Linked DNA regions of Nothobranchius furzeri. The protein of the gene in region 3 purifies or fractionates together with the protein of the main gene of each other region. This does not show direct contact. Links are inferred from orthologs where the notes say so. Each region holds a gene or a part of one and is shown on either strand. Other genes may lie near its edges.

The links.
Region 1: the proteins of polr2g (region 3) and scaf1 purify together in Homo sapiens (affinity purification with mass spectrometry; 3 studies listed by BioGRID and IntAct, counting the BioPlex papers as one, with this or other methods). This does not show direct contact. The link is inferred for Nothobranchius furzeri from reciprocal best matches to the Homo sapiens genes POLR2G and SCAF1.
Region 2: the proteins of polr2g (region 3) and gpn1 purify together in Homo sapiens (affinity purification with mass spectrometry; 4 studies listed by BioGRID and IntAct, counting the BioPlex papers as one, with this or other methods). This does not show direct contact. The link is inferred for Nothobranchius furzeri from reciprocal best matches to the Homo sapiens genes POLR2G and GPN1.
Region 4: the proteins of polr2g (region 3) and ctdp1 purify together in Homo sapiens (affinity purification with mass spectrometry; 4 studies listed by BioGRID and IntAct, counting the BioPlex papers as one, with this or other methods). This does not show direct contact. The link is inferred for Nothobranchius furzeri from reciprocal best matches to the Homo sapiens genes POLR2G and CTDP1.

Annotation. Positions count from the first base shown.
Region 1 is NC_091758.1:13,827,181-13,834,654, reverse strand, and holds the start of scaf1 (splicing factor, arginine/serine-rich 19), read right to left. Parts: upstream 3,939-7,474; 5' UTR 3,704-3,938; exon of another isoform or gene 3,652-3,703; intron 1-3,651.
Region 2 is NC_091749.1:65,739,588-65,746,965, forward strand, and holds the start of gpn1 (GPN-loop GTPase 1), read left to right. Parts: upstream 1-3,440; 5' UTR 3,441-3,479; coding exon 3,480-3,614; intron 3,615-3,968; coding exon 3,969-4,062; intron 4,063-6,684; coding exon 6,685-6,791; intron 6,792-7,378. UniProt on the Homo sapiens protein: Small GTPase required for proper nuclear import of RNA polymerase II (RNAPII). May act at an RNAP assembly step prior to nuclear import.
Region 3 is NC_091741.1:90,871,003-90,878,850, reverse strand, and holds the start of polr2g (DNA-directed RNA polymerase II subunit RPB7), read left to right. Parts: upstream 1-3,177; 5' UTR 3,178-3,330; coding exon 3,331-3,342; intron 3,343-3,590; coding exon 3,591-3,700; intron 3,701-3,857; coding exon 3,858-4,017; intron 4,018-4,168; coding exon 4,169-4,219; intron 4,220-4,308; coding exon 4,309-4,374; intron 4,375-4,530; coding exon 4,531-4,602; intron 4,603-7,848. Other genes in the region: uncharacterized protein si:ch211-175m2.5, read right to left, coding at 773-903, 2,270-2,369, 2,445-2,612, 2,678-2,731. UniProt on the Homo sapiens protein: Core component of RNA polymerase II (Pol II), a DNA-dependent RNA polymerase which synthesizes mRNA precursors and many functional non-coding RNAs using the four ribonucleoside triphosphates as substrates.
Region 4 is NC_091751.1:1,629,375-1,636,740, forward strand, and holds the start of ctdp1 (RNA polymerase II subunit A C-terminal domain phosphatase), read left to right. Parts: upstream 1-3,428; 5' UTR 3,429-3,637; coding exon 3,638-3,933; intron 3,934-4,823; coding exon 4,824-4,907; intron 4,908-6,973; coding exon 6,974-7,067; intron 7,068-7,265; coding exon 7,266-7,366. Other genes in the region: adck5 (uncharacterized aarF domain-containing protein kinase 5), read right to left, coding at 1-77, 153-353, 450-525, 832-981, 1,053-1,144, 2,695-2,718. UniProt on the Homo sapiens protein: Processively dephosphorylates 'Ser-2' and 'Ser-5' of the heptad repeats YSPTSPS in the C-terminal domain of the largest RNA polymerase II subunit. This promotes the activity of RNA polymerase II.

The DNA.
Region 1 (7,474 bases), on a different chromosome or scaffold from region 3:
CATCATCATCATCACCATCATCACAACCACCTTCATCATCATCATCATCACCATCATCATTATCATCAACACCTTAATCATCATCACAACCACCTTCATCATCATCATCATCACCATCATCATCACCATCATCATTATCATCAACACCTTAATCATCATCATCACCATCATCATCATCGTCACCATCATCATTATCATCAACACCTTCATCATCATTATCACCACCATCACCATCATCATTATCATCAATACCTTCATCATTATCACATCATCATCATCGTCACCACCACCACCACCATCATCATCATTATCACCAACATCTTCATCATCATTATCACCACCATCACCATCATCATTATCATCAATACCTTCATCATTATCACATCATCATCATCGTCACCACCACCACCACCATCATCATCATTATCACCAACATCTTCATCATCATTATCACCACTCCACCTTCATCATCATCATCATCATCACCTTAATCATCATCATCACAACCACCTTCATCATCATCATCACCATCATCATCATCGTCACCACCACCACCAGCTATCATCATCTTCATCATCATCATCATCACCAACACCTTCATCATCATTATCATCAACACCTTAATCATCAACATCATCATAACCACCTTCATCATCATCATCATCATCATCTTCGTCACTACCACCACCACCAGCTATCATCATCAACACCTTCATCATCATCACCATCATCATTATCATCAACACCTTCATCATCATCATCATCATCATCATCATCATAATCGTCACCACCACCACCACCTTCATCATCATTTTCACCATCATCATCATCGTCGTCACCACCACCACCACCATCATCACCTTCATCATCACCACCACCTTAATCATAGTTATCACCATCATCATTATCATCAACACCTTCATCATTATCATCACCACCACCTTCATCATCATTATCATCAACATCATTATTATTCATCATTATCATCAACACCTTCATCATCATCACCATCATCATTATCATCAACACCTTCATCATCATCAACATCAACACCATCATCATCATCATTATCATCAACACCATCATCATCACCTTCATCATCATCATTATCATCAACACCTTAATCATCATCATCACCATCATCATCATCGTCACCACCACCACCACCACCACCATCATCATCATTATCATCAACACCATCATCATCATTATCACCATCATCATCATCGTCACCACCATCACCACCACCTTCATCATCATTATCATCAACACCTTCATCATCATCATTATCACCATCATCATCATCGTCACCACCATCACCACCACCTTCATCATCATTATCACCATCATCATTATCATCAACACCTTCATCATTTTCATCACCACCACCTTCATCATCATTATCATTCATCATTATCACCATTACCATCATCATCATCATTATCATCAACACCACCATCACCATCATCATCATTATCACCATCATCGTCACCACCACTTTCATCATCATTATCATCATCATTATTATTATTCATCATTATCACCATCACCGTCATCATCATCTTCATTATCATCAACACCACCATCGCCATCATCATCAACACCTTCATCATCATTATCACCACCATCACCATCATCATCATCATTATCATCAATACCTTCATCATTATCACCATCATCATCATCGTCACCACCACCACCACCATCATCATCATTATCACCAACACCTTCATCATCATTATCATCACCCCACCTTCATCATATTCATCACCATCACCACCACCATCACCACCACCACCACCTTCATCATCCTCCTCCTCCTCATCACAACCACCACCACCACCATCATCATCATCATCAAAACCACCACCACCATCATCACCTTTATCATCATCCTCATCATCACCATCAACACCATCATCACCACCATCATCATCATCACCATCAAAACCATCACCGTCATCATCACCATCAAAACCACCACCACCACCATCAACACCTTTATCATCATCCTCATCATCACCATCACCATCAAAACCACTACCACCATCACCATCAACACCTTTATCAACATCATCAACACCACCACCATCACCACCATCATCATCATCATCATCATCAACAACACCTTTATTATCATCATCATCAAAACTACCACCACCACCATCACCAAAAAACAAAGGCTCAATCCCAATACTCGCACTTGCACCCTTCATTTGCGCGTTCCCGGCCAGTGGTGCGAGTACGTAGAGTGTTCCGATTCTCAAGTGCAGAAGTTGACCCCGCCCCATTGCACCCTTAATCTGCACTTCACCCAAGTCCAGTGATGCGGACCTCGGGCAAGGGTATTACCCACAAGTCATTGCTGCAGGAGAAAAGGCTCAAGTTCCTTTTCTGAAAATATGTATTTTCTAATGAAATTAGTTCATTTTAGGATGATTAGTTGATGCTCTAAAACTTTAAGACAAAGCAGCAATAAATGTAAATTTATTTCAAATAACTGTATAGCAGTTTGTTTAAAAGTTGTTAATAAAGGTTTTTGAAAAAGTATCACAGCAACCAGCATCCTGGCATGCGTTGCGATCAATGACGCAACGCTCCCGGTCTCAATTCTGCAATTATTTGCACACTTGTGTACTACGCACTCGAAGCCTCACAGGGCACTTTCTCCAAGTGCACTTTGCTGACGTCTGCAGGGCACAGAGCGAGTATTGAGATTGGGCCAATATTGTCCGTTTCAAATTCACACACTGCAAAAACCCTCAGGCAGTGTTTTGTGATGCTGCTTCAAACACGTGATGAGGTTGGACGTATTAAACTTTCCTGCTTCTGTTCCACCTCGGGAAGTATAACAGAATACTGCCACATGGCCGACATTGCTCTTGCTCTGTGCAACTTTGCTAGCATGCACTGTTCTGATCTTGTGGGCTTTGCATGCTGGATAGAATTGGTGGAATTAAATTTAAAGCGGAACAGACTGTTAATATCGAAGATTTTTGATGCAGTCCGATTAGGTTAAAGTCCCATAGTCATCATCACACACTGGTGAAATTCATCTGCATCTGGCCCATCCCCATGGAGAGGAGCGGTGGAGCTGCAGTGGTGGCTGCACTCGGGAATTATTTGGTGGTTTAACTCCTCAATCCAACCCCTTAAAGCTGAGTGTCAAGCTGGGTGACATTGGGTCCCATTTTCAAAGTCTTTGGTATGACCCGACCAGGATTTGAACCTTGATTTCTCAGTCCCAGGGCGGACACTCTACCACTAATCCACTAAGCTGATAAAAACCCATAAGTGTTTTTGGGCCGATATCGGACCAATTTCTGACATCGATATCAGAACGGGGCATCCCCAACTACCATCATCATAAACACATTCACCATCATGAAAGTCACCATCATCACCATCACAATCACCATCATTATAAACGTCATCTTAATCATCATCGTGAATTTTTTCCACCAACAGGATCTTTTATAACCTGGACAAATGCTGATTTGTTTACGCTGAAGGATTGACCAATGACAGCTGTTTAGTGTGTCACTGTGCTAACATGACACAAAACAAGCTAACGCAGCTAAACGACAGAATAAACGTTCTATGAAGATTTTATTGTATAACCTAGGTACTTATTTACTGATGTCCGCTCACCTCCAACGCTAAATACCTCCTCTACGTCTGACCGAGACGTTTGAGCACAAACCTTTGCCAGCAAGTATCGAGCTAACCAAGTAGCTTTAGCTTCAAAGCCGACAGAAAGAGCATCTGAGCGATAATGAGCTCTTCCAGTCCGGCCCAGTCTTCAGTCTGAGAGACAGTCCCCGTCTGGCATTAACTTTAAACTATATTAATACAGTCAACTTCATTTTAAATCACAGCTTTTTACTGATTTTAGTCGATACAACAGCGAAGGAGCCCATTAGTCACCGCCATCTTCCTCTCCCTGAAGCCGGACCGCAAGGCATCCTGGGAAACGGAGTTCTGATGTAGTCATCTCTGTTGCCAGTCTGCCACAGAGATAATGAATAAACCTGATGGATCACTGAGTGATCAATGACAGGATAAGTTTTGGTCTTTTTAAAATTATACAGGTATAAAGAAGACTGAGCTCCAACTGGATTGTTTTAGCAGTTTAAGTTTTTGATTAATTACTGGCTAATAAACAATTTCCTCTTAAAACCGCCTAACCAACGCATCAACTAAACAACCAGCTCAGATAAACAGAAACGTGTCACGCCACTACATAACATTTGAGGAATCCGCTCACTGATGCGTGCACGTTAGGGCCGTGAACATCCTTCTGCAGCCATTGAAACAAATTCTTCATTTTAAAGACGGGCTGCTGCAACAGCAGCTGATCGGATCCTTCCAGCACCTTGATCCTGTTGTAGATCAGCTGCTGACTTTGGATCATGCTTCTGTTTCATGACCCGCTTTGGTCCAACTTTCAGCTCTCACATGAGATTCTGGGCCGACTTCACACTGATGTTAATGAAACACACAGAAGCTCTCACCAAAGCCAAATCAGTACAGATATAACGGTGTTTAATCACTGGTGCTGTGGTATGTTAGTGGATCAGAGGCTGGTAAAAAACACAAGATTAATGTTTAAGATAAATAATTTTTATTTTTAAACTTAATTCAACCAAAACAATGCAAAGTTAAAACATGAAATGTTTACTTTGTAATGATAATTATATAAAACAGACACAGAACCATTCACACCAGTCAAACAGAACTCAGCTAACATTCATCAACCACCCCCAAAAAGACCACCAGCCCATCATTTGGTAATTAAAAGAATAAATCAGGTGGTGCTACAACCTCTATAAACACACATTTAACATGTCCTTTTATTATTATTGATTTATTGTGTTTGTCCCATAAAGCCTCTCTTGTAACATCAGCACCAGGAGGTTGCTGATAACACTAAACACAACATCCTATATTGCCTGTTGGTTTTCAAAATAAAATGTAACAGAAATCTTGATAGCTTGTCCACCAACAACTAGCTGCCATCATGTTCACGTCTTAAACCAACTTTTATGATCTTCTAATGTTAATTGTAAAGGTGCAGAATGCAAATCAGATTTGGTGTCAACAGAAAATTTGGCGTTCTTTTGTGCAAACGGAAACGTCTGTGGGGTTTCTCTCCATGTATTTGGGAGGCTTCGAAAAGCAAAATGAATTTAATAATGTAATCTACCTGCAATAAAACCAGTTACAAAGTTGCATCAACACAAGAGGATGAAGGAACACAAGTTTATAACTTGTTCCAGCTTTTTGCTTGTGAAGCATCACAAAAATCTGAGTCCATCCATTAGGATGTTTTAAAACAGCCGAGGCTGATGGGATGGATGTGTGAAGGCTCAGCACCAGGCTGGAGTCTCCTGTAGTCATAAAAATGTGTGTATTACATTCTGAAAGTCATACACACACACCCTTCTGGGGGTCCCTGCTTTGTGTGTGTGTGTGTGTGTGTGTGTGTGTGTGTGTGTGTGTGTGTGTGTGTGTGTGCAAGGAGGGAGGGAAAGAGGAGGAGGGAGAAAAATGCTTCAAAGTTGTGAGATTCTAATGGTTGGTATTGTGACATCATCAGGCCTGATCTCAGCGAGGTCGTTCATGTTGCCCGTGAGCTCAAGCTAAGAGGCAGTCCCAGGGCCAAGCCCCTCTGAACAGCTATCCAAACAAGCCCAGCTGCTTTTTAAAGAGGAAAATTAAACATGAGTCAGACACCCTGAGAGCAGACAAGTGAAGCCCGAGGCACCTTCTTCCTGCCTCAGAGTCCCGGGTAACCCGACTTGACCCCAGCGCTGGTAACAGAGTCTGTCCAGATTCCAGCCAGAGTTCAAGAGAGCAAAGGGCGGAGCCTGTAGTTTCACCATGGTAACTAACTGTAGGGGCGGAACCAGTAGTTTCACCATGGTAACTAACTGTAGGGGCGGAGCCTGTAGTTTCACCATGGTAACCAACTGTAGGGACGGAGCCTGTATTTCACCATGGTAACCAACTGTAGGGGCGGAGCCTGTTGAGTAGCTAATAACGCCACTAACTTTATTCACCAGCCTTTGTTTCTTCCCAGAAGGAGCTTTTTCCAATCATAAAGGCCCCAGATCACGACTGGTTGTTGGTCTGAAGCTGTATGACAGTAACTAAGTCTCATACAGACTCTGATAGATTACTGCTACACCAGGAAGTTAACACTCCTTTAAAGGACTGCTGAGGCTTAAATCTACATTTTAAAAGGAATTAAGGCAGAATTTGGCACATCTGATGTACGAACTTCCAGGACATCAGCAGCGTTAGGGTTAACATCAGCAGGGTTATTCAACTGCAGGTCAGTGTTTGGAACATGCTCCTTCAGGTAAGAAACTGTGAGGGCAGAATTTTAACAGGCCAGACAGCACCAGGCTATAACAGAAAACCCAAGGACAGAGCAGGAGGGGAAACAAGGAGGAGTGTACTCTCAAAACTCTAATCAGAACAAGTCTAGCTTATTTCCTGATTGTTTCAAACTCAAATGTCTACAGCAGCAATGTGAAGAAGACCTTTCCTTCTTCAGACCAGCCCAGCATCCTTTGCCATCTTGTAAAAGGGTCCTCTCTCAGCAATGAGCCTAGAGGGAGAGTCAAACTCCACCATCTGTCCTTTTTCCAGTACCAGAACCCTGAAGGAGACAGAACATACAAACAATTTAGGTTCTTCAAGCTGCACAACAAATACAGATAAATGAGAAATCAAAAGTGTTTTACACAGTAGATAACGTTGGTTACGTATTATAACCCCAGATTCTATGAGTCTAGTCGCAGCCCTTAAGCTAGCTGCTATTGGAAGGATGATCTTCAGCATCATGAAGAGCTTAAATGTACACCCACCAATGGTGGGCACCCCTGTGGGTATATAAGTGGAGCAACTCCACTGTTCACCTCCGATGGCTCTTAGTCCTAACAGAACCAGTGGGGCCATTGGCTTAAGGGCTGCGACTAGACTCATAGAATCTGGGGTTACAATACGTAACCAACGTTCTACTTCGTCTAGTCTTAGCCCTTAAGCTAGCTGCTATTGGAATAATGCGCAGCTGGATGGGTTTACGCCACACTGGTTAGCTCAACCACTGGACACACCCAACATGTCTCCTTTTAGTGGGGGTCGCTCAACCTCACCCCAGGGCTTAAAAGGCTGAGGCAGCCAGAGAGAAGAGTGGGGCCCCCACTAAACATATCATCCACAAGACGATAAAATTCATTCAGGTAGGGCTGATGTGGAGCCATAATGCTTTCACTCAGCCTGCTGAGGTCCAAGCACTGAACGAGTGATGGATCCTGAAGACACATCTCGTAAATAATAACGAGTAAAGGAACAGGGTGAAGCCCATGAAGCAGCCTGACAAATGTCTTCCATCGACACACCACTGTGGGGCGCCACAGAAGAGGAAATCCCTTTGGCTGAGTGAGCCCTGAGTGTCTCAGGAGGA
Region 2 (7,378 bases), on a different chromosome or scaffold from region 3:
AACCAAAAAATTCTTAATTAGAGACAAGTAGATGAAGGCTGAAGGTATCAGTTGTTTAATATAAAAGTCTAACATTTGAATAATCATGATGGAATAGATTAATTTAGTGCTTTTATAAATAAGTCATCATTCCTACTCTACTGGTGATGCCTTAAATCAAAGCTGCAATGGCAAACATGGAAAACAAATGAGCTTAAAATGTTTTTCATGCCTCTTAACAAGGTTCTAACATAATGAAGCCAAAAATATGTTGTGGGGATTTAAAAAATGAAAGAAACTATTAAAGTGGTTCTCTCACATTTGTCTAAAAACCTTCACTAATAACACGTTTCTGACCAAAAGCAACTATTGGATCATCGGGTTGTCGGTCTCAGCGAGCTGCCGTACTTCCCTGGGTCCTCCACTCATTACACACTCATGTTTTTAGCACCAGAACACCACTGGTGTGAGAGATTCTCCGCTTCATAATGTCAGAGGAGGAGAAACAGCCGGCTGCTACCACTTCAGCTTTAGGACAAACTACCAGAGTCCCCAAAAGAAAAAAAAAAAAGAACATTTGAAGTCACAGACAACAAAAAAAGTTTGGACCTAAAACAGCGACTGGTGTTTAGCACCGTCTCGTTTCCTCTGACATTATGGGTTTCCAGTTCCGGCAGGGAAGATACCCGAGGAGAGGGGTGAGTGTTCTTTGGCCGTTGTTGCGTTTCAAAACCTAGCTTGTTTGCAGATGCGCCATGTTCCCCTTAGACCTGGAATTTTTATGGGATTTGCTTTGACCATTTATGGCAGAACGTGTGTGTAGGAATTGGATGTGATCCAGAAACTTCCGAGCACATTTCTAGGAAAGGTGTGATGTATAAAGCAGGAATTGAGCTTAAGCAGAGTTTTACTTCATCTTTTATGTAAAGTTTTATAAACGAGGCCCCTGTTTTAAATCAAGTGAACACGAAGAGCGTTCCATCAGAACCGGCTGCCGGGTCACCTGTCTTAGAATATAACCGACTAAGCTGTAAGATCTTTGCAATTTTCAGGTTCCACACTCTGATTGTGTAATAAGAACATTTTTGCAAAACATTGTGAGGCCCTATTGTTCAATATCAGTTACCACGGTGACAGTAGTTTCCTCCTCAGATAGAAAAGGGAAATTTTAAATGCACGGATCCCACAGCAGATCCGTACTTTCCTCTTCGACCTTATCCCTGATCCTTTGCTTCTGTCTGAAACAAAAGAAACTGATTTAAACAGCAGGATCATCACATGTCCGTGACCTTTCACTTCCTGTCCCATTTGTGCAGAAACAGAAAGTCATTAATCTGTAGTCATGGACACCAGAAATCACAGCGCGTTTCCGTAACGACAGGATAAGCTGTGGACATCCGATCTCTGGTCTTCAGGACCCTTTCCTGTGGTTATGTGTCAGAGCGTTCTACAGGACTGGTTCACACATGCCTCTGAAGTCTCAGGAGGTTGGTTTTGACTTGACTGATGTTGCTGACAGTGTGAAATCTGATTGGTTGAATTGAATTGGACTAAACTAATCACATTTTACAAAATCATGCTTAGTGTGAGAGATTTCTGTGAAGTCACTGATGCTGCATTTCAGTGACTACATGCAATTTAGTGGGTGCCCATAGATGGAAAACTTTTAATTGGAATGATGACCTGAACTTACAGTGGTCTCTAGTAGGAATGGGAAAAATAGCACTGATGCACTATTTTCAGGAACTAGTAGGCAACATCACAGCTGAATGAATAAATGAATAAACATAAACAGCTGAGCTTCAGACGGCAGGCTTTGGAGTCTTATTTCCTGATATTTGGACATCTTGCCTCGGATTGGATAACAGCATTGTGACTCTACCACTGGCTGTTAACGCTGCAATGTTGATGTTTTATCTCCACAATTAACTCAAGCCTAGAGGAGTTCTGCTGTGCGGGGGAGTTGCTAATGCTAACGATTAGCTTCTATTAGCTGAGACATGCTCTACCGTTTCCTGGACGCAAAACCAACAACAACCGTCCCCGATGGGTGAGTCCATGAATGTTAAGTGACAGTGTGCTGTAGATCTTTCAGGATTTTCTAATCCTAGAATTTCACCGTCTGGTTTCTATCAGAAGCTGATGCAGGACTGGAGATAGGTGTAGGAGACTATTTTCATGTTCATCTTGTATGAAAAACTCAGAGTGGCCTGTTATGATCATAAATAATGATTTAAAATGTTTTCAGTGTTCCCCACCTTTAAAACGTTAACAGCAACCTCACCTCATCATCTGATCAGCTAACCTAAACTGACCTAACCTTAAGTTACCCGAGTGAGAGATCGAAGGAGTAGAAAAAGAAAAATAAGGGAATTTTGTTTTATGATTCTCTAGATAAAATCACAAAGGTGGTGATTTGAATAGAAGTATTCCATCTCCTATCACCTGTACTGGGTCTAGTGGGTTTCCCAGCATAGAAATGGTCCTGATCAGCTGACCTGGTCTCTTCCTCTCTGCTGCTGCTCCATCAGAATATTCCAAAGATCATGACTGCAATCCCAACAGAGGATTTTAAGGTCTCCAGGAGAAACCCCTGCTCTCCGAAAGGCCAGAACTTCCTCCTTGAATGAGCCATCAAAAAGTTTACAGAGTTCATTCAGGTTCTAAAGGAGCTCACTATCTCACTCTGCGTCTGTTCCCTGGATGGTCCCCAGCGTCGTGAGTCTGCACCAGCTGTTTGGTATTCCCTGTATTGATCTGAAGACACTTCAGTTGGCTCCAGTCCATGAAGTCCTGGTTCCTCCTTCTGTAAAGAGGACAATCCATTACTGATAAATTTCAGATGAGCTCAAAACGGATCTGAGCTGATCTCACAACTCAACTCATGTTCCAAAAAACAGTGGTCAGTTTTATTTTCAGCACTTTGACAGGCTGTAGTGAAAAAAAAGAATTAAAATGAAGTTTCACAACAAAATGATGCTTAGAGTTAAAAAAAAGACATCAGTTGTCACTGTGGCGATTCTCAAACTGCAGCAATGAACTGATGAAGGCATTTCTGAAGTAAATATGTTTTTTAAAATGATTTTTACAGCAAACCGTTTTTTGAAAATGTTCAGCTTTCTACAGAAGACTAACACCCAGCACCAGTTCTGCTGGGATTTTAGAGGTGCAAAGTTTGTTTGATGTGAACTCATTGAGTCTAAACGCATCAAAACTTCACTGTCAGAAAAATAATTTTGCTGTAATAAAGCCTCCATTGGCTGGAAACCAATAATTATCACCCTAAAAGACTGAAAATTTAACAGATTTTTAAAATGAGTACTGTCAAAACAAAATTTACTATGTATGAAAATAATTTAGCTATATACATGTTTTTGCTAAACAATAACTGCTAATATTTGTTTTTAGTTTGGCGCCCTCCGCTGGTCACCACAGCTGTTGCACGTCCTGTATTTTACGACATTGCCTGCGCCTTGACGGCAAGTTCAGAAGCCACCAACATGGCAGCTGCGGCAGACACAGAAGAGTTACCGGAGAAGAGCTCGGTACCAGGAGGAGGCTGTGGTTCGGTGGGCTCCCCGGTGTGTCTCATCGTTCTGGGCATGGCGGGCTCTGGGAAGACCACCTTCGTTCAGGTGAGCTCCGACCAGGAGGCGCGTGGCGAGGCAATGAGGACTCCGTCTGTAAAATCCTACTGCGTTTTCTCTGTTGAAGACTAGATCCGTTCCGTAAACGGGGTTTGAGTTAATTTGGTGGCTAAATGCTAGCAAATACTTCCTAGTAAACAGGCAGGTGAGTTAACCAGCGGTAGTTGGCCCGGTGCTGTACGGGGTCGATTAGCAGTTTTCCTGCTCTTTTTCCTCGTCCTACAAGTTCAATATTTTTATACTCAAAAGTCTAGTAGATAAATTTATTAAAGCCTAGTTTTAATCGGAGACAAATTAATTCAACTGTGTGTGTGTGTGTGTGTGTGTGTGTGTGTGTTTCAGAGGTTGACAGCCCACCTCCACTCTCTGAAGTCTCCTCCATACGTCATCAACCTGGACCCTGCTGTCCACGAGGTGCCATTTCCAGCCAACATTGGTGAGGATCAGTCTATTTCCTGGATATCTGAGGCTCCGTGTTGTTTCTGACTTGGGTTTTTCTTCCCACAAAACTCAAACGTTCCCCACTTTGCCCAGGAAGGTATTCCAGAAAGTTTAGAACATCTGGGATCTCCTGATAAATCCCTGCTTGACAAAGCGCTCCCCTCCCCTCCCAGTTTCGCCTGCTCCACGAATGATTTTCCAGTGGATTCAGTCCTCTTTAATCCCAGCGAGGATCGAAAATCACGGCTCGCACATAGGGCTGGGCGATATGGCCTCAAATCTATGTTGCGAAATAATCTGAAGCATGTGCGGTAACGATATATATTGCGATATATTTTTTCCTCTGTCATGTCTGTCAAAATGACATGCTTTTAAATATCCTCATGTGGCAAATATATGCCACTTGAGGCATATAGGCCTCCTCCTCTGCCCACTTCATGCTTGCAGTCACCGCCGTTCTGTTGTCCCAGTGTCAGCAGGGTGCACATCTTAAGCTGTTTTTATAGGACCGTAGCGTTTTTAAAACGCGATTTGCCGCTTCATCCTGGGGAAGGTTTTGGCATTTATAGTAGCAAAGCTGAAGCTAGAATAAACCGCCATCAGACACCTCTCAAACCAAGATGGGATATAGGGAGGTTGCTGGTCGCCCCCCCCCCCCGCATGTGACGTACAGGGTCGCGCATTCAGCGTCAGACGGAAGACACGTCAGACTGATGAAATTTCTTTTTCACGACCTTTAGCTTTGATGTGACCTGCTTTTTGCCCCGCTTGACGCCCCGCTCAGCCCGTGTTTCACCACTCTGTCGAACAGCTGGCTGTCTCTCACCGTCCCCGTAAAAAGGCGACTAATCTGTTCGTCCGCTCGCACGGCCAAAAGCTCCATGGTTTCCGCGTCCGTCCAGCCGGCTTTCCTTCCGGCCGGCACCCGACGCGCAGTACATGTGACTAACACGACCACCCTCTTTTGCGGGGGGGGGGGGCTCCCACAGTCGCTCCAAAGGGATTAGCGGGGCTGACACGCGTTTAGCCGACAGAGGCAAGGGGCTGATGCGCCAATATTACTATCAAGCGAGGCGGAACGAATGCTGCAAAATTCGTGCAACGCCATGCCGGCATAGCGCGTTCATGGACATACCATTGCGGTAATATTACGCCGATATGCCGGCATGGTGTGTCCTATAAAAGCACCTTTAGTGGCGTCATGTGTATTTAGTGTACGCCTGCAGGTACTGATGTTTCATTAGAAAATACATATTTTCAGAAAAGGAACTTGAGCCTTTTCTCCTGCAGCAATGACTTGTGGGTAATACCCTTGCCAGAGGTCCGCATCGCTGCAGACTTGGGTGAAGTGCAGATTAAGGGTGCAATGGGGACGTGGTCAACTTCCGCACTTGAGAATCGGGACACCCTGGCCGGGAACGCGCAAACGAAGGGCGCAAGTGCGACTATTGAGATTGGGCCTGTGTGTGTGTATTTGTCAGCGGCTCCGCCCTCTTTGTCTGCCCAGGCAACGCCACCTTGTGGTGCATTTTTCAAACAGGAAATTGGAATGGAGTTATACCCTGGTAGGAGGTGACGTGCTCTTTAAAGTTTTCATCACTTATGTGTCGTTTTCATGTTCTGCTCCAGAGTCCGGATGTTTAGAGACTGGAGGACTTTGTTTTTGCTGTGAGTTTTAAGAAGATACGTTCGTGGCGGTCACGTGACCCTAAAGTTAGCGCTGTAAACCGTTTAGCACTCATATTACACACCGAGGACAAAACATCACGTATGTCGAGTAAATATAGTCACACCAATGAAGTGTTTCATTTACATGTGTTATGCTAGCAGCTGTAAGGTAGTTTAAGGCTATTTTAACATATTCATAAAGAGGACAGCATGTTAATGATATGGGTCCATCCCAGACTAAAGCTGGTATATAATTATACTCATTAATAATGCTGACATCAGGAGCAACATCAGTGGAATGAAACACTCCTGGTTGCAAATGAAGATTAAATGCAAAACATGCTAAGATGTAGATCCAATTAGAAGTCAGTTTTAAAAGTTTAAACTCCACATTTATTAATAATTTAGTCATCCAAAGCAAAGCTGCAGCTGCTGTTACCGCTGTGGGCCAGCAGTGGCGCTAACTCACCTCTTCCTAGTTGCCAGCCACCGACAAGAAAAAGGTGACGTAACGTGCCTCCTCGTCCAATCATATTCACAAAGCTTCAGTAAGCCTAGCAGCTAGCCTGCCACGGAGCAGGTTTGTTCTCCAGCATGCGTTACCATGGTGACTGGGAGGGTTTCAGGCTAGCCACGTTTGTAAAACCGATTTAGGGACGGTTGCACAAGAAAGCCTGGTTTTGGGAAAATTTCACTTTCTGGAATACCCCCCTGAGCAGTCATATGGGGCGGAGCCTATCTCAGCTTTACATAAACGAGACAGGGCTATACCTGGACAGGTCACCAGGTGTGTGATCTAAGGTCAGATAATTCTTGTTTTTAGCCGTGAGCTCCACAGAGGAAGGTCCAGCTGGACTCAAACATATTTCAATTATAAAGTTTAAACACAAAAAGAGAAATCTTGCCTGTTGCTCCTGCGGCTGTCTGCAGACTGTCCTCTCGTCCACAGACATCAGGGACACCGTCAACTACAAAGAAGTGATGAAGCAGTACGGTCTTGGACCAAATGGTGGGATTGTGACGTCACTCAACCTGTTCGCCACGCGTTTTGATCAGGTAACCCTTTTCTTCATGACTGACTCGATTAAAAAGGACATAAAGTCATTTTCTTCTGTATAAATCAGGAAAATGAGAGTTTACTAAAAGCTGCTATGGGAAATGTGTTGTGATGCTGTGTGTTAAATATCCAACTGTTAACTACAACAGTGAGCCATTTTAGTGGATCACGCAGAGCAGGGATGTCGGAGCTCTTAAAATGTAAAAACATTCATATGATTTTATGTCTCCCCCCTTCAAAAGAAGCACGAACATTTATGGCCTTTTCCCACTAGCGTCTGCACGGCACAGCTTCACACAGTTCGGTTGTCGGACTCTTAAAAGAAGAAACTCGGAAAAGGCTGTGGGCAGCAAAACGAAATACTCCGGAGCAATCGGTGACTCCGCCCTCTAGCCAGTCATAGACTCCACCCCCTAGCAAACCGGATCCAGGAAGTGTTCTGATGTTGCATTTTCAGCCCAGTTCGGAATGCTTGGATCCACAGCGACCTGGTATTAGTGGGAATGTCTTGGAACTGGGCCGAGCTGCGTAGGTATGGGTGGAAATGGGCCCTAAGATCTTCAAAACTAGCCGGATCCTCCTGCTG
Region 3 (7,848 bases):
AGTTTTTTTTTTTTTTGAAGAAAATGTGAACGTAGCGCCATAAAAGCATTCTGTCCTCTTTTGCAACAAACTGGTTTCCATTTCTTTCATAAAAAACATCAAATGTGTACTTGTAATAAATCTTGTTGCTTTTATCACACTGTTGGACTGACTTTACCTGTTGGCTCTCAAGCATTGGGCTAGCCTCATTACCACAGGATCTCTTCCGTCTTCACTTTCATAGGATAAGGCTGGACACATCTCTCATCGTCGGTTCAAATGTGCATCATTCAGTTCACAGCTGATTGTGATTTAGACCTGATTTTCAACAGATTTTATTATTCTAGAAGAGAAGCAAACCTGCTGCACACAGCTGGGCAGTTTTATTACACTTCATACCCAGGTAAGGCACACACATGTTGTCCTCAGCTTTAATAAGATAACCCAATGCTTGAGAGCCAAAGGATATAAAACAAGTCCAACAGTGTGAAAAATGCAACAAGGGTTTAAAAAAAAAAATAAATAAATAAATGAAAATAAAATAAAAAACAGACTATTTAGCAAAATTGGACAGAATGGTTATTATAGCGCTAAGTTTGCATTTTCTTTACAAAACATCAACCGCCATGAATGCCGTGTTGGGACTGGGCCTCTGATGTGGCAATCTTCTAGTTTGTTAACCAGATGCACCAGAGCTTTTTTTCCCCCAGAGTACACCTTCCAAGGCCATCAACACTCTCCAGCTGTCTCATGAATGCTCTTAAGTGGAACACAAACGACCTAAGACTCTCACCTGATCCGCGAGTGTTGGTTTCTTTGAGTAGACACGATGCAATGCGCTGTGGGAAACCACACAGTAAAGACACTTGTTGTGACTGCTTGTTGCAACGATGATCAGCTCACGATCTGCTTTTGTCAACCCGCCTGGAAGACATAAACAGCACAAAAGGACAAAGCATTACATTGGTTGTCACCTACGCACATTTCTGTTGAGGGCTTGAGGAATTAAGGGTTTTATTGCCTTTCTCTCTTTCCCGCCCTTCCCCCCCTCCCTCGGGAGATGTTGCCTAAACTCTACCAGTAAACCCACACATGCACGAGGAGAGCGTGCCAACTCCGTGCAGAAAGACTGTACCTGCTCACCTTGCTGCAAGCAACAGTTCTACTAACTGTGCCACAATGCAACCTCCAGATGCTTGGTTAATTCAAATAAAAATTTAATCCCAGAGGGAAACTGGCATCTCATAATGAAGCTGCAGCAGCAGGCGGATGTGTGACAGGGAAGCTGTGGGTCAAGGGAGGTTAGAGGAGAGAATTTTATACTGAACCTATAAAAGAACATGTTCAGTTCAGGGTTTGTCATCAATCTGATTCTTCTGCTTAAAGCCACGGGTCTCCTACCCTGCGATTAAACCTCCATGTTGTTTTGCATCTTGACTTTGAGGAGTTTTTTTTATACTCCTCAATAATCTCCTGTCTCCACTCCTCAGTTAATGACTAACTCGATTAAAATAAAAGCCTGTAAGAACTTTTCTTAGATGGCTATATGAAGGAGAAACTTGAAATCATAAGCAGAGCATGGCTGATACTAAGATTCAGGTACCTGGTCGAGTTTGGAACGGTTTGGGAAAAATCTCTTTAAGAGTCGTTTTGTGTTTTGAACCCTCCCACTGTCCTAATAGGCGTGACCCCGCGAGGAAAACAGACCATTGAGCAGGGTTGATGGTTTATCCCTTGAATCCATGTGGCAGGGGTGAGTAGTGAGCACCGCCTCACCCCTTTCCTTGCGGGGTCACCCATAAAGACAGTGGGAGGGTTAAAATAAAAACGTTAGCTGCTTGATCATCTGTTTAACACTTGCAGTCTAACTTTAAGAGTCACCTGTTTTCTTTAGATGTTCAGTTAGTTAACATAATACATACAAAATCCACATTCCTCCCAATTGTTCTGCAAAAACAGAAAGAGGTAGAGACACAAATTAAACTTGACTTATTGAAAATATATTTAACAATTTTTTTCACTTTCATCACGTGATCATCCGCTGGAACAAATCCAGCATCACAGCTTCTACAAAAGGTTATCCTCTAGTCCTGTTGAGTCATAACACAGGACAAACATCCTTATTTGCAACACAAATAAGAAGTGAACGAAGTGTTTAGTTCACTGAACCCTGGCTTGGACACGTTGGGAGGGTTGAAGGTGCTGAAGAACGGGTTGCTTTTTATTCTAAACACTGCATCGTGTGTCTGTATTTATCTGAACTGAGGCCACTACATCAGAAAAAACCAACCTGTGTCCTTGTTCATCAGTTCATTGTAGTAAGCGAAGAAGGCTCTGAACTCAGCTGGTCTGTGGGAGAGGGCTTTGAAGACATTTGGCAGGAAGCCTCCCTGTGCACAAATATGAGCAGATTAATGATAAAGGCGTGTGATCGCGAGACCTAAAGGCTGGTTTTAATTTAAAACCTTTGACTCCACTTCCTCCATGAGCTCAACTATATCATAAGGCAGGTCCTTCTTGTAAGGAATGGGATAGCGGCTGATCTTCTCCGGAAGGGTGCCGGAGGACGGTCTGGTCCCAGCCGCCACTGCAGCCACCTTACCCCGAAACAAGCGACCCGACCGGAGACACGCCTGCACAGACAGCCGAAGAGTCAGATAAACAAAACACACAATCAAATCTACGGTTCGCTACTTACAATTTTAGAGGTGACAGGAAGACGAAGCAACTTGAAAACGAGGTTGCTCGCCATGACAGAAGGAGGACTTGGAGAGTAATTTTAACCACGGAGACAAAATTCCTATTTTCTTTCTAATGATGTAGCAGAATTGTTTATTTTAATCTATTTCGTTCTTTAAAACTTCAAACCACCTGTAGTGTGGTCCCAATGACCGCTAAACAACATGACGATTGTGCTAAAGTTGGATTACTTTCACCTAAATAAATTGTTTTCGCTTCGTCTGTGTGTCAGATAAGAGTCCACTAAAAAACAGCCAATCACAGAGCGGCTTTCAGTCACGCCTATTGTTTTCCACGCCTCTCTGCAGTAATACTTCCTCGCCACAAGAAAGCAGTATTAAAATGAACCGACGGTGGAACTCGTTTAAATCGGATTACTTATTCCGTTAATTGTTTTTAAATAAACAGTTTTTAAAAATCCCTGAAGATAATTTTATTTTTTTTATTTCCCGTTACAATACAATTTACAACAAAATTTCAAGAATCCTCTTTGACCCGGAAGAGGTTCTTCTACGCCGGACGTCCATGATTCCCTTTCAACAAAGAACAAGAGAAGCCACTTCGACGTATTTAAAAGTATATTTTTAAGGTGGAATTTAAACTTATCAAGAAATGTTTTATCACGTGAGTATGTACATTGTTCTCGTAATCGGGGGTAGCTGAAGGCTTAATGGATGTTTCGATTTGGATCGTTTATCAACAACGTCGTAGTCTTTCCCTCTTCTTCTAACCTGGACTAGTTTTCATATTTTTAATCAACGTGACATTTTATTCATCCATTACTCAATCTACAGAGGCTGGTTTATGCATTTTTAAAATACGAACGTGTGCACAACCAATTTACAGATGAAGGATTTTGTTGCACTTTACAGATTTCTTTGGAGCATGAAATCCTTCTCCACCCCAGGTACTTCGGTCCCAATCTACTTAACACCGTGAAGCAGAAGCTTTTCACAGAGGTAGAGGGAACTTGTACTGGCAAGTGAGTAACAGCATTTTATTATTGTTCATGATAACTTTAACTGGGCTTTGCAACGACTGAAAGCGTTAATGAAACATTGACTATGGCATAACTAGATCAACGTGTTGCTGCCTTGTTAAAAAGTTGGATTAACTCTTTTGTTTTTTCTGTTTCCCAGGTATGGATTTGTCATTGCAGTAACCACTATCGACAACATCGGAGCGGGTGTCATCCAGCCAGGCAGAGGTTTTGTCCTCTATCCAGTCAAGTACAAGGCCATTGTTTTCCGCCCGTTTAAGGGCGAGGTGGTGGACGCTGTGGTCACTCAGGTTAACAAGGTATGGCTCACTCATCTTTAGTCATTGTTCTTCGTAGCAGATCTTAATTCTTTAGCAGAACTTCACGCTTGTGAAAACTAAACAAATTGAGGATTGTTATGCCAGTACGTTTGCGCCTCGCCTTTTTTAACCTTTTTCTGTTTGCTTGCAGGTTGGATTGTTCACAGAAATCGGTCCCATGTCTTGCTTCATCTCTCGCCATGTAAGTCTGTTAAAGCATCGGTTTCACTAGAATCATCTTTTTATTTCATTATTTATTTAATGTTGTTTTGATCATATTTTTATTTTCAGTCCATCCCCACAGAAATGGAGTTCGACCCCAATTCTAATCCACCTTGCTACAAGACTGGCGATGAGGTTGAATATCTGTAACTTTTCTATTTTACTGCTGCTTGTTTAAACAGTCATATTAATAAAAATCAACTTCAGCATGTAAAAAGTTCTGCTTTTTTTCCCCCTAATGTGTAAATGTTGCTCTATCACACTTTTGTTGATGCTTCTTACTTTTTATAGGACATTGTAATCCAGCAAGATGATGAGATCCGGCTGAAGATCGTGGGAACACGAGTCGACAAGAATGACATTGTGAGTTTATGTTCTTTTTTAAAGTCACTACAGTTGTTTAGTTCATGTTTCCTTATTACTTCATATTATTTATACACACTGCCTGGCCCAAAGAAAAGCTGCCATCCAAAAAACGTCACACATTCCAATACTTCGTTGGACCACCTTTAGCTTTGATTACGTCACACATTCGCAGTGGTGTTCTTTCGATGAGCTTCTCCAACGTCACCAGATTTGTTGCCATCCAGTGTTGCATTAATATTTCACCAATATCTTGCATTGATGGTGGTAGAGTCTGACCGCTGCACAAATCCTTCTCCAGCACATCACAAAGATTCTCAATGAGGTTGAGGTCTGGACCGTGGTGGCTGATCCATGCGTGAAAATGCTGCCTCATGCTCCCTTGGGGCGACGGTGGCACAGGAGTTAAGTGCTCGCCCCGTAATCGGAAGGCTGCAGGTTTGAGCCCCGCTCAGTTTGTTATTGTGTCCTTGGGCAAGACACTTAACCCACATTGTCTGCTGGTGGTGGTCGGAGGGACCGGTGGCGCCAGTGCTCGGCAGCCTCGCCTCTGTCAAAGCACCCCAGGGCAGCTGTGGCTACTAGTGTTGTCAAAAAAATCGATACCCAGATATAAATCGATACTAAAAGTGGTATCTAAATGAGATATTCCATCCCTGTGGTATCGATATTATGGACTATTATACACAGCCTTCTTCAAGTACACCGACACGCACGACAGCCAGATGCCGTAAAGCAGCCTCCGCCTCCCAGACAAACAGAAGAAGAAGACGCCGCATGGCTACATTGCAATTTCCCACGCGAGTTGTCTCCGATCCAAGTTTTGTCTGCCAAATAAATAAACAAAAACATAAACAGCGAATTTGGGAGGCGCTTCACAGCCCAACTTAATTAGCATACCAAGTCCAACACGTAGTTGTATATTCACGCTTATGTGCTTAAAGGAAAACTCCTGTTTATTGCAACCCGGACTTAATTTCTAGCATGCAGTACGTTTGTTTACTCACGCTGACAACTTTGGTGCTACTTGGCAGAGGTGGAAAGTAACGAATTACATTTACTCACGTTACTGTAATTGAGTAGCTTTTTTGTATATTTATACTTTTTAAGTCGTTTTTAAAAGCTGTACTTTTACTTTTACTTGAGTAAGTTTTTAAAAAAGAATTGTAATTCACTACATTTTAAATGATATCCATTACTGAGTAAAAATAAATTATAGGCTTAATAAATTAAAAATATTACGTGTTGCAGCGTCGGAACAGAAAGAGACACCTGCATGATCACCGCGTCTTTTGCTCAAAGACATCAGTTCAGTCGATCAACTCGCTGTTTACCTCCTCTCTCTCTTCTCTCCTGTGGGTTGGAACCCGCACCTTCGCGCACCGGTGTGACGTCATCAGAAATCTGCTCGGTTCGGTAGCCGGACTCGGTTCCGTGTTTGAAATGTGTTTCTCTACCGCTCCGCATGGAAGCAGCAAAATAACGTTTAGCGCTCATAACAAGCGGATTATCAGCGCTCTGCTCATCAAACAGAAGACCTGCAGGCCTCTGTGAGTTAAAACATCCTGATACTGTTCAGGTGTAAACATTGTGCTCCATCCCTGTGTCTGAACTCAGAAGATGCTTCTTGATGCCACAGATATGTGATGATTTAGCTTGTTTCTTTATTTTACTCCAGAATAAGAGATTAAATTATTACTAAAGCAGTTCAATGTAGTTAAATTAGTCATTCAAATGATTCTAACATGCTGCTGTGTGTGTGTGTGTGTGTGTGTGTGTGTGTGTGTGTGTGTGTGTGTGTGTGTGTGTGTGTGTGTGTGTGTGTGTGTGTGTGTGTGTGTGTGTGTGTGTTTGTGTACACATATAGGACTGCATGAGACAGCATGGTTTCATCAAATCCATGCATCTTATATCTTGGCTGAAGTAATGACTCAGGAAAATAACTTATATTTCATAAATAATGACGTCAGTGTCTATGATAATATTTTATCTTATCTTTGGTCTGGGAGGTGTAACATATCATGATACAAGCCTTTTAAAACATGTTAATGTGCTACAAGACGAGATAAATGCATGAATTTAAAGTTCATGTTTGGAGTCCAACCTTCACAGTTTGGAGGCTCACGCTGGTGAGGAGACACCGTTAGTTCTAGTAACACCTGGAAGGATTCCAGTTGGACAATTGGAGGATTATTTAGGAGGATTGGAATGAACAGACTGATTTCAGTGGTGAAGGGTTAAATGAGTGAGTGAACCCACTACCAAAGATGAACTCTGCTAACTTTAAAAATCAGCTGCTCTAAATACGCATGAAGGTCAGAGAGGAGGTCTAGGATGGACATGGATAAAGGAACTGTAATGTAGAGGTAAAGTAGGGCAGGGCCAACGTTAGCAGCTGTCATACGGTCCATCTGAAATGTTTGACTTTCATTTAGCTTGTTATGTGACAGGTTAGAGCACAGTCTCATGTTAGAGTTTTGTCATGAAAACATTGAGATACCTCACATGCTGATGGCATCTAAAAATAATTTTTTCTCAAAATAAAGAATAATTTTAATCACAATTGAAACTTACCATCCTAGAAAAACCTCGTCCAATCAATGTGCACGTCCTGTTCTCACTGATTGGATAGAAATCCCTCCTTCAAGCTGTGCGTGTTTGAGTGTGTGTGTGTGTGTGTGTGTGTGTGTGTGTGTGTGTGTGTGTGTGTGTGTGTGTGTGTGTGTGTGTGTGTGTGTGTTGTGAACTGGCGTTGTGATTTAGCACTACTTAGATGTAGCCATCCTTACACTGACAAAAATGTAACTAAGTGACTTTTACTTTGAGTACATTTTGTTTACGATACTTTTTACTTTTACTTGAGTAAACATTTAGGCAAGTACTTTTACTTGTAATTGAGTAAAAAATTATCAAAGTATTGGTACTCGTACTTAAGAAGGAAATTTTAGTAGTCTTTCCACCTCTGCTACTTGGATTCCCTGGGGTATTTAGATCCATCGGCGAATCGCCGTCAGCGTATATCCATATAAAGGGTGCGGACGGGCACCCATGGTGCAGCCTCGAAATAAGACATTATCTGAACCAAAACATCTCAATGTCAAAAGGTTTTGTTAGGAATCATTAACATGATCCCCCTGTTCGTTTGGAGCGGGTCTGGAATTTCTAGACGTGAACAGACTAGCCGCGGCTAATCTAACCGGCGCTTTTAATGACATCACTGCCGTGCGCCAATCTGTTTTTATTAAG
Region 4 (7,366 bases), on a different chromosome or scaffold from region 3:
GCTATGGGCTCATAGTCAAACGACTTAAAAAGCTGGTCCGGGGTTTTGTTGAAGTCTTCTAGGAAGAGCGCGTCCACCTGTGGGAGATGACCAGACAGGACGAATCTCACTTAGTCCCTCTGCTGCAGCGTGTGCTTCGTTCTTTGTCCCACCTCTTTGTACTTCCTGTTCAGAGCCTTGTCCTCCAGGATCTGCAGCGTGCGGATGTACTCGGGCGGCAGCAGGTGGTTGAAGGAGCACAGACCCTGGCCCAGTTTGATATAGATTCCTCCATTCCTTGTGGCTCCTTCCACCATGTACTCTGCTGCCCTCTGGTGGCAGGCTGACATCTGGCGCTGGTAGGATGGGCTGTTCTGGCGGAGCGGAAGACGAAACCAGCTTGAGCTACTAATAAACTTCTGATCAACATCAAACATTGATCCCATCCACTCTGATGGCATGAAGCTTACTTCATCCAGTCCACGCAGAGTCACGTTGGTGGTCCACCAGTAATCCACGGAGATAAAGACTCCCACGGATAAAGACCTGAGGGCACAGGCAGAGATGCCACTGGGACTTTACAGGTTTTTTTCTTTCCTACAACTCGTAACGGATCGTATTTATGTGATTTTCTGGAAACTTATTTAGTAAAACATAAATATCAGTAATTAAGCCATATGCACAACACGGATAAAAGCCAGTGAATCATGCTGGCAGTTTTAACTTTGATGTTTTCTGAACGTGTTTCTTCGTGCGAACAAGAGCAAAATCAGTTCCAAAAGACTCTGTTCAATCAGCGTTGTAACAAAGTTCTGTTGAAATTATCGAGTAAATAAAAAAACACAAACACACCTGAAGAAACGTCCAAATCCCTCAATCACGATTCTCATCTTCCTCCTCTGCCTGTGGTCTGACACGGCATACTGGGCACCCACCACCACAGGTACGCTGACTGAGAGGCCTAAAAGGGTCTTCCATAGCAGCTCTCTACGTTTCCGCTCCCTGGAAGGGTTAAAACAGTTCTGTTTAACTAAGGAAGAGGATTGTTGAGGGTATAAAACTCTCTTTGACACCTGAGTGAGCAGAAGGATCTGGTTGTTTGGAGAGGCAAACCATGATGTGAAGATCTTTGTAGAAGAGCCAGGTGGTGACTGCATATTCTTAACTGGGAAACAAAAAAACAAAATCCTTTGTAACCCAGCAACACACAGGTAAGCTGATAGTGAGAAAAGATCAGATTAGTAGGTTTGGAACAGGGATTCAAGCATGTGTGCATGTTTATATACTGAGAGGGATGGGAATGGAGTCCCATCAAGGCCAGTCCGGTGTTGTTTTTGTACGCTGACTCAACACGGGACAAAATGTCTTTACTGCTGACAAATTGATTTACAGATAACGGGGGGTGCCAGTGACCTCCACATCAAAGGTGGTTTTCTGTCGGTCCAGTGACACCCTCGCAGGGTGGCCAGAGGGGGCCATGGCCACCCCTAGAAAACTGTTGGCCACCCAATTATGTTTTAGTTAAAATGTATTTAAATGTTATTAAATTCTATAACAATTAAATTGGAAACAATAATTAAAATAACAGCATAAATTGTCTTTTTTTCTAAAATGTTTCTATTTCTCGGATTTTAGGTAAAAGTGTTTTTAATGAGAGAAATTGAAGGCACAGAGCAATGCGCAGCTACAGGCTAAAGCCTGATTCATGCTTCTCCGTCAGAGCGGAGACACGCAACACCATTATCCGTCCTCGCGGGCCTGCCGGAGAGCTCCGCAAGGACGGACAGAGTCTAGCTCTCTTTTCTAAACATCCATCCGTCGAGACGGACAACGCAAGCTTGTGATTGGTCAGGACGCCGCTGTTGTCTACACCGCCGCCACTGCGCCCTCAAAAACATAAAGAGAGCCGAGCGGCAGAAGCGGAGCAGCTTGAAGAATACCTCGCAAAAAAAAACCTAAAAATATGAACGTTTAATCCCCCGTGACTGGAGGAGTGAAAAGATGCGCAGCAAGCGTTTTATTTGTGGATGGAAATGACAGGAAACGTGGGTTTCGAGGTGGCGAGCGCATGAAGAGGTGGAGGAGAATGAGAGACAAATATGTCCGTGTTAAAAAGTCTCTTATATACAAAAAACACAATATAAACACACTATCTTGGACCGATACATGACAGGATACCACAGAACAGCGCTACGCCCTCTGCTGTCCTGGCGGGGAAGTGCATTGCAACGCTCCACAGGAGACGGAGAACATCTCCGTGCGTGTCTCTCCCTGTTGGAGCTGATGGAGAAGCATGAATCAGGCTTAAATCCTCCATTATTTACCACAGGAACAAATTTGGTGCCATCTCAAATTTTGCACTGGCTCCCCTCGAAGAAAACTTTCTAGGAGCGCCACTGCGTCAGGCACACATTTAGACCCTTGAGGACCACAGATGTACTGGACCAATCAGGAGCTCAGAGTAACGAAGAGACAGTTTTTGTTTAGTTGCCAAACTGAGATGGAACTTCAAACAACAGATGTTTTAATGCAGTGAAATATGAATAAATAAATATATTAAGTTGAATTAAATGACTATCAACTTGCACATCTAGCTTTACTAGTTGCATAGCTTGATGATAGCTAATAATCGTTAGCTGTTAGTCAACAGGTTAATATCAATGACTATCTTTGCCAAAACGATCTAGACATAGATTCAGATTTTTGTTTATTTACCACTCCAGAAGTCCCCCATGTCATGCTTCCCTCTGATAATATTAACACCCTGCTCACAGCCGTGAATTCTTGTCAAAGAGGTCGCCAGCAGTCTGAGAACCTTCTTCAGCTAACACTAGCATGACTTTTGGTCAGAAGACTGGAGTGCAAGAGAAACCGCACCCACCCACTTCCGTTTTCGTCTTCTTATTTAAAAATAAAATCGTGGAATCCGCTGAGTCCAATATGAGTGCATGTCCTTATTTTATACAGTTGGTAAACACGCACAACTTTCTGTCATTTTGAATTGTAAACTGGAATAAAGTGCACAGAAGTAAGTTTGAAAGTCCAGTGTAATACACGGTTTTGAAGACCAAATGTGTGATCCATTGAATTTTATCAGCGCTTTTAATTTGAAGGGCAAGTAGAAAAGTGTCCCGTTCTTCCTGTCCGCCTGCTTACCGGTGTCATGTCGAAAAAAGCACCCTAGCCATGAAGCGTAAGATTTGACGTCAGTCCAAAATCTGCAAAGATTCTATTACTGTGTGCTTTTCAGTGTAAATACGATCATCTCACTTCTAAACAAAATTAAAATTACTCCCCGTAAAATGTGGTGTTTTAAAAATCGTATGTAAAAAATATGCAACACAACCTGATTGACATCAAACTTTCATTCAAATGTTATTTTCAAACCTTTTCCCTGACCAGTGTGACAGGGATACACTTTTCGGCAAACCCCTAGCTTTGCGACGTGCGTCGCTGCAGTGTTGCGCTTTCCTGTTTACGGGCGGGAAGAGCGAACGAGACAGCAGCCACGGTGTTTAAATCTCCAGGACATTTGTTTTATTGATCAAACACGTGATTCGTTTGCTACATTGACACACTGGCCATCGCGAGGTGGGTTTGATACGTATAAAGTGGACTGGTGCAGAAAACGAAAGAGGTTCTGGAGACTGCAGGACAGATGGAGGATCCTCCTGCTGATTCTGGTGGCGGCGGCGGCGATGCTGCTGCGGAGGGCCCCGCAGTGCAGGTGGCAGATATGTGCTCTCCCAGCGGGGCTCTCCCTCTGCGGCTTCTAGAGTGGAAAGTCAAGCCCGGATCTCTGGTTAACGTGGACTCTGTGCTGGCACTGTGTGCTCCCATGCCTCGGGAGAAGGGGACGGGGGCTGCCAGGCTGCCCGAGAAGAAGGTGAAATCAGACCGTTCTGGAGTAGTGAAGGAGCTAGGTTGTCAAGTTGGACAAATCATTCCTCCAGGGTGAGTCGCTCTGTTTACTACAGCACACCCCTTCTAAGAAAATCTACAGCCAAACAAATAAAAAAAAGTTTTGAAAATACTTTTTTGAAAGCATCCCTGCTTGAACGTCAGTTAGCCAGTAGCTAACACGGCTAACTTGATTAGCATTGTTGCTAGTAAGTTAACCCTAAAACAACAGTTGTCTTGGAAGTAAGAGCGGAAGTTCGTATACGTCAGTCTCAGAATTGGTTTTAAACGTCGTATTGTGAATTTATCCAATATATTATGGAACATGTGTGGAAATAAAAGTGTGTGCGATCACCGCTGCTGTAAATTCAAAGCTGCGTTTTTCAAGAAGAGCAGGCGATACTTTTATTTTGAAAGCACCACCATGCTGGGCAGTGTTGTGGTGTGTTTGAGTCAACAATCAGATCAATATAGGAAGAAAACAACACGTTTGCACAGTGCTGTCAGGGACGTTTTCAGGTTTTAGACAGTCAGGAAACAGGAAAATCATTACCTCACTCTTCATTTACTGATATAAACCTGAAGTGATGTAATTATATTATTGCCTATTCTTGTGGCCTTCAGGTGCATTTTGTAAAATCCTACTTCAAACAAAAAAAAAACCATGCTGTTTTTTTATTTGCAAACATGACAGCTTGATACTAATCAGGATTTAACTCAGCCTTAATTGTACTACAATAAAAGTGTTGCCTTCATTGGATGAATCAGCTTTATTTAATTTAATTCTAATTACATAGCAGCACCAGTGTGTGTGTAGCCCATTTATTTGTAATAGTGTAAATAGAGACAAACATCTATATGAGCCACAATAGCTGAAATACGTGTTTAATAAACATGTGGGTGCTGTAATAATTGTTTTATTCTCTCACCATCTGTCTTTTTAGTGGTGTCATCGTCAGGATTGAACAGTGCAGCCATCCCATTGTCATGAAGGGCTTGTGCGCCGAGTGTGGCCAGGATCTTACTCAGTAAGGACACATTGACTCAGAATCTACTTGTTTTCAGCTGTTGCTCCTCCTTTCCCAGTTCCAGATGTGGATGGACATTGTTTCTGTTTAGTTATTGTTGGACACATGCTGATCATTTAAAAAAGTTGGTAAAATAGGCTGAATAAATGTCATGTTGCAGCGAGAGCAGTGTTTGGTACTAGGGCTGTCGCGGTAACCGCAAAAATGAAATATCGCGATATGAAGAAGCCCACCGCGCTGCATCATGCGCCACCGCGATTACTGAACTTGGTTCAACTCAATGATGCATGTTGAGAAGGATGGCTGCACTGGTATCAAAACGAAACGTTACTTCGCTCCTTTGGGAGCACTTTGGTTTTCAGTACGTCAGCTGCTGCGCAGCCAGAGTCCTTGGCCGAGACAGAGCTGCCACCAGCGGCAAAAATAAATAAATAAATAAATGCTCGGAGACCTGCTGAAGTCCCGGACAAGCACTGCTTCTGCAACCGTCCCGAAGAGAGTTGGAGCCGAGCTGGAGCTCACTCGCTACCTGCAGGAGGAATGCATCCACCCTAAAGAAACCCCCTGACATGGTGGAGCAACAACCGGGAGAGATTCCCTTTGCTCGCCAGAGTCGCACGCAAGTACGTGTGCGTTAGCGCAACGAGCGCACCATCCGAGAGGGTTTTCAGTGTTGCTGGAAATGTTGCCACCCCTCTCAGATCCTCTCTCAAACCGTAGTTAACATGCTGGTTTTCCTTGTAGGTAACAAGGACGTGGCCGAGCTATAAAGCACCGTCATTCGTGTGTGTGAAAGTGAAATGATAGTGCGCCCGCCCCCCGGCGCGCGCGCGTGCGCCCGGTACATGTAATTTTTTATGCTTGATTTTAAACAACTAAACAAAATGGGGACTTGTTTCTTATTTGTTAGATGCTGCAGCCAAATTTGCATTTAAAAGTTTAACCTTCTCCTGAATTTTGTTGTTTTTAAGTTCAGTCGGACTCCGACTGTCGGAGAAACAAACGTTACTGCGATCTGTGTTGTTACTGCCCTTTGATCTGCATTCAGTAAAGTGTTATTAAAGAAGGCACGGCAATTTTTAACCTTTTTTAAATGTGTAAACATTATGTTTAGATAGTACTGCAATAAAAAAGGGCTGCAATAATATCGCACACCGCAATATTAAGCCACCCTGAATCACCGCAGGAGGAATTCCTCAACCGCGACAGCCCTATTTGGTACTGGGTGTTGTTCTGTGTGGTGCCAGCGGGTGGCACCAGAGATCACACATGGATGTTAGGTGACTTTGATGCATTTCAAGGATGTTTATATAATTTCTGCAAGGTTAGCATGTTACATATATTTAACCAAAAACAAGACTCAACACCGAGTCGTCATATAATCTGATACATGGCTTTTGCTACGCTGGGTACAGCAAACACCCAGGTGGTAAGGGTTCATTCTTCCTCATCAGACAATAATGAGTAATAAAAACAACATATGAGGGGAAATTATGTTATGATACTGAATTGCCATTTAAAAGCAACGGATAGATTTTTTTTGAGAATTTACATGCAAACATTAACTATTTATTTTGTGTGGTGCATTTCAAACTCCGACTGCTAGGTGGCAGCAGTGTGTACCACCTTCATTCTGACGGAACAACCAGATCTCGCGATGACACGAGCTGTGTGTTGGAAGTGTGTGAACCGAGTTTTCCAGTTAAAATTTTGGGGGGTTCATTTACAATTAAACCTAATCGATCAATAATCAAAATAATGAAATCATAAAAGTCTCAACTGTTTTCAAACACGCTGCTGGTAGAACAAGAACAAAAGCTAAACCAGAAAAATGTGACGCTGCATGTATTTAATACAGAGACCTCAGCAGTGAGATAAAATGTCAGGGCATGCTTTTGTGGCTTAATGAGTCCACGTTGGGGGCTCTGGACGCTGAACTGCTGCAGGCATGAATGCATGCATTTGCATGTTTGTAATAAATCCTTTCAGTCACAATCTGCTGAAGGGTCTGAGAGATGCACAGAGGGCAGAACTCCTACTCTCTCTCTCTCTCTATCCCATCGTAGGCTCCAGGGAACAAACGGGAAGCAACAAGTTCCCATCTCCACAGCAACAGTCTCCATGGTTCACAGTGTCCCTGAACTGATGGTCAGCTCTGAGGTGAGTTATATGATGGAAGTGTGTGTGTGTGTGTGTGTGGCTTCATATAGCTTTATTAGAAAATTTCACTTGCCTGCAAATCTGTGAAAATTACAACATTAAACCAATAACACTCCAATATTATGTGAGGTTATATATATACATGTGTGTAGTTGAACTTTATCCTACATTGTCCTTTGTTTGCATTAATTTGCACAGCAAGCCAAGCAGCTGGCCAGAGAAGACCAGCAGAGACTCCATCGAAACAAGAAGCTGGTCCTCATGGTGGACCTGGACCAGACTCTGATCCACACCACTGA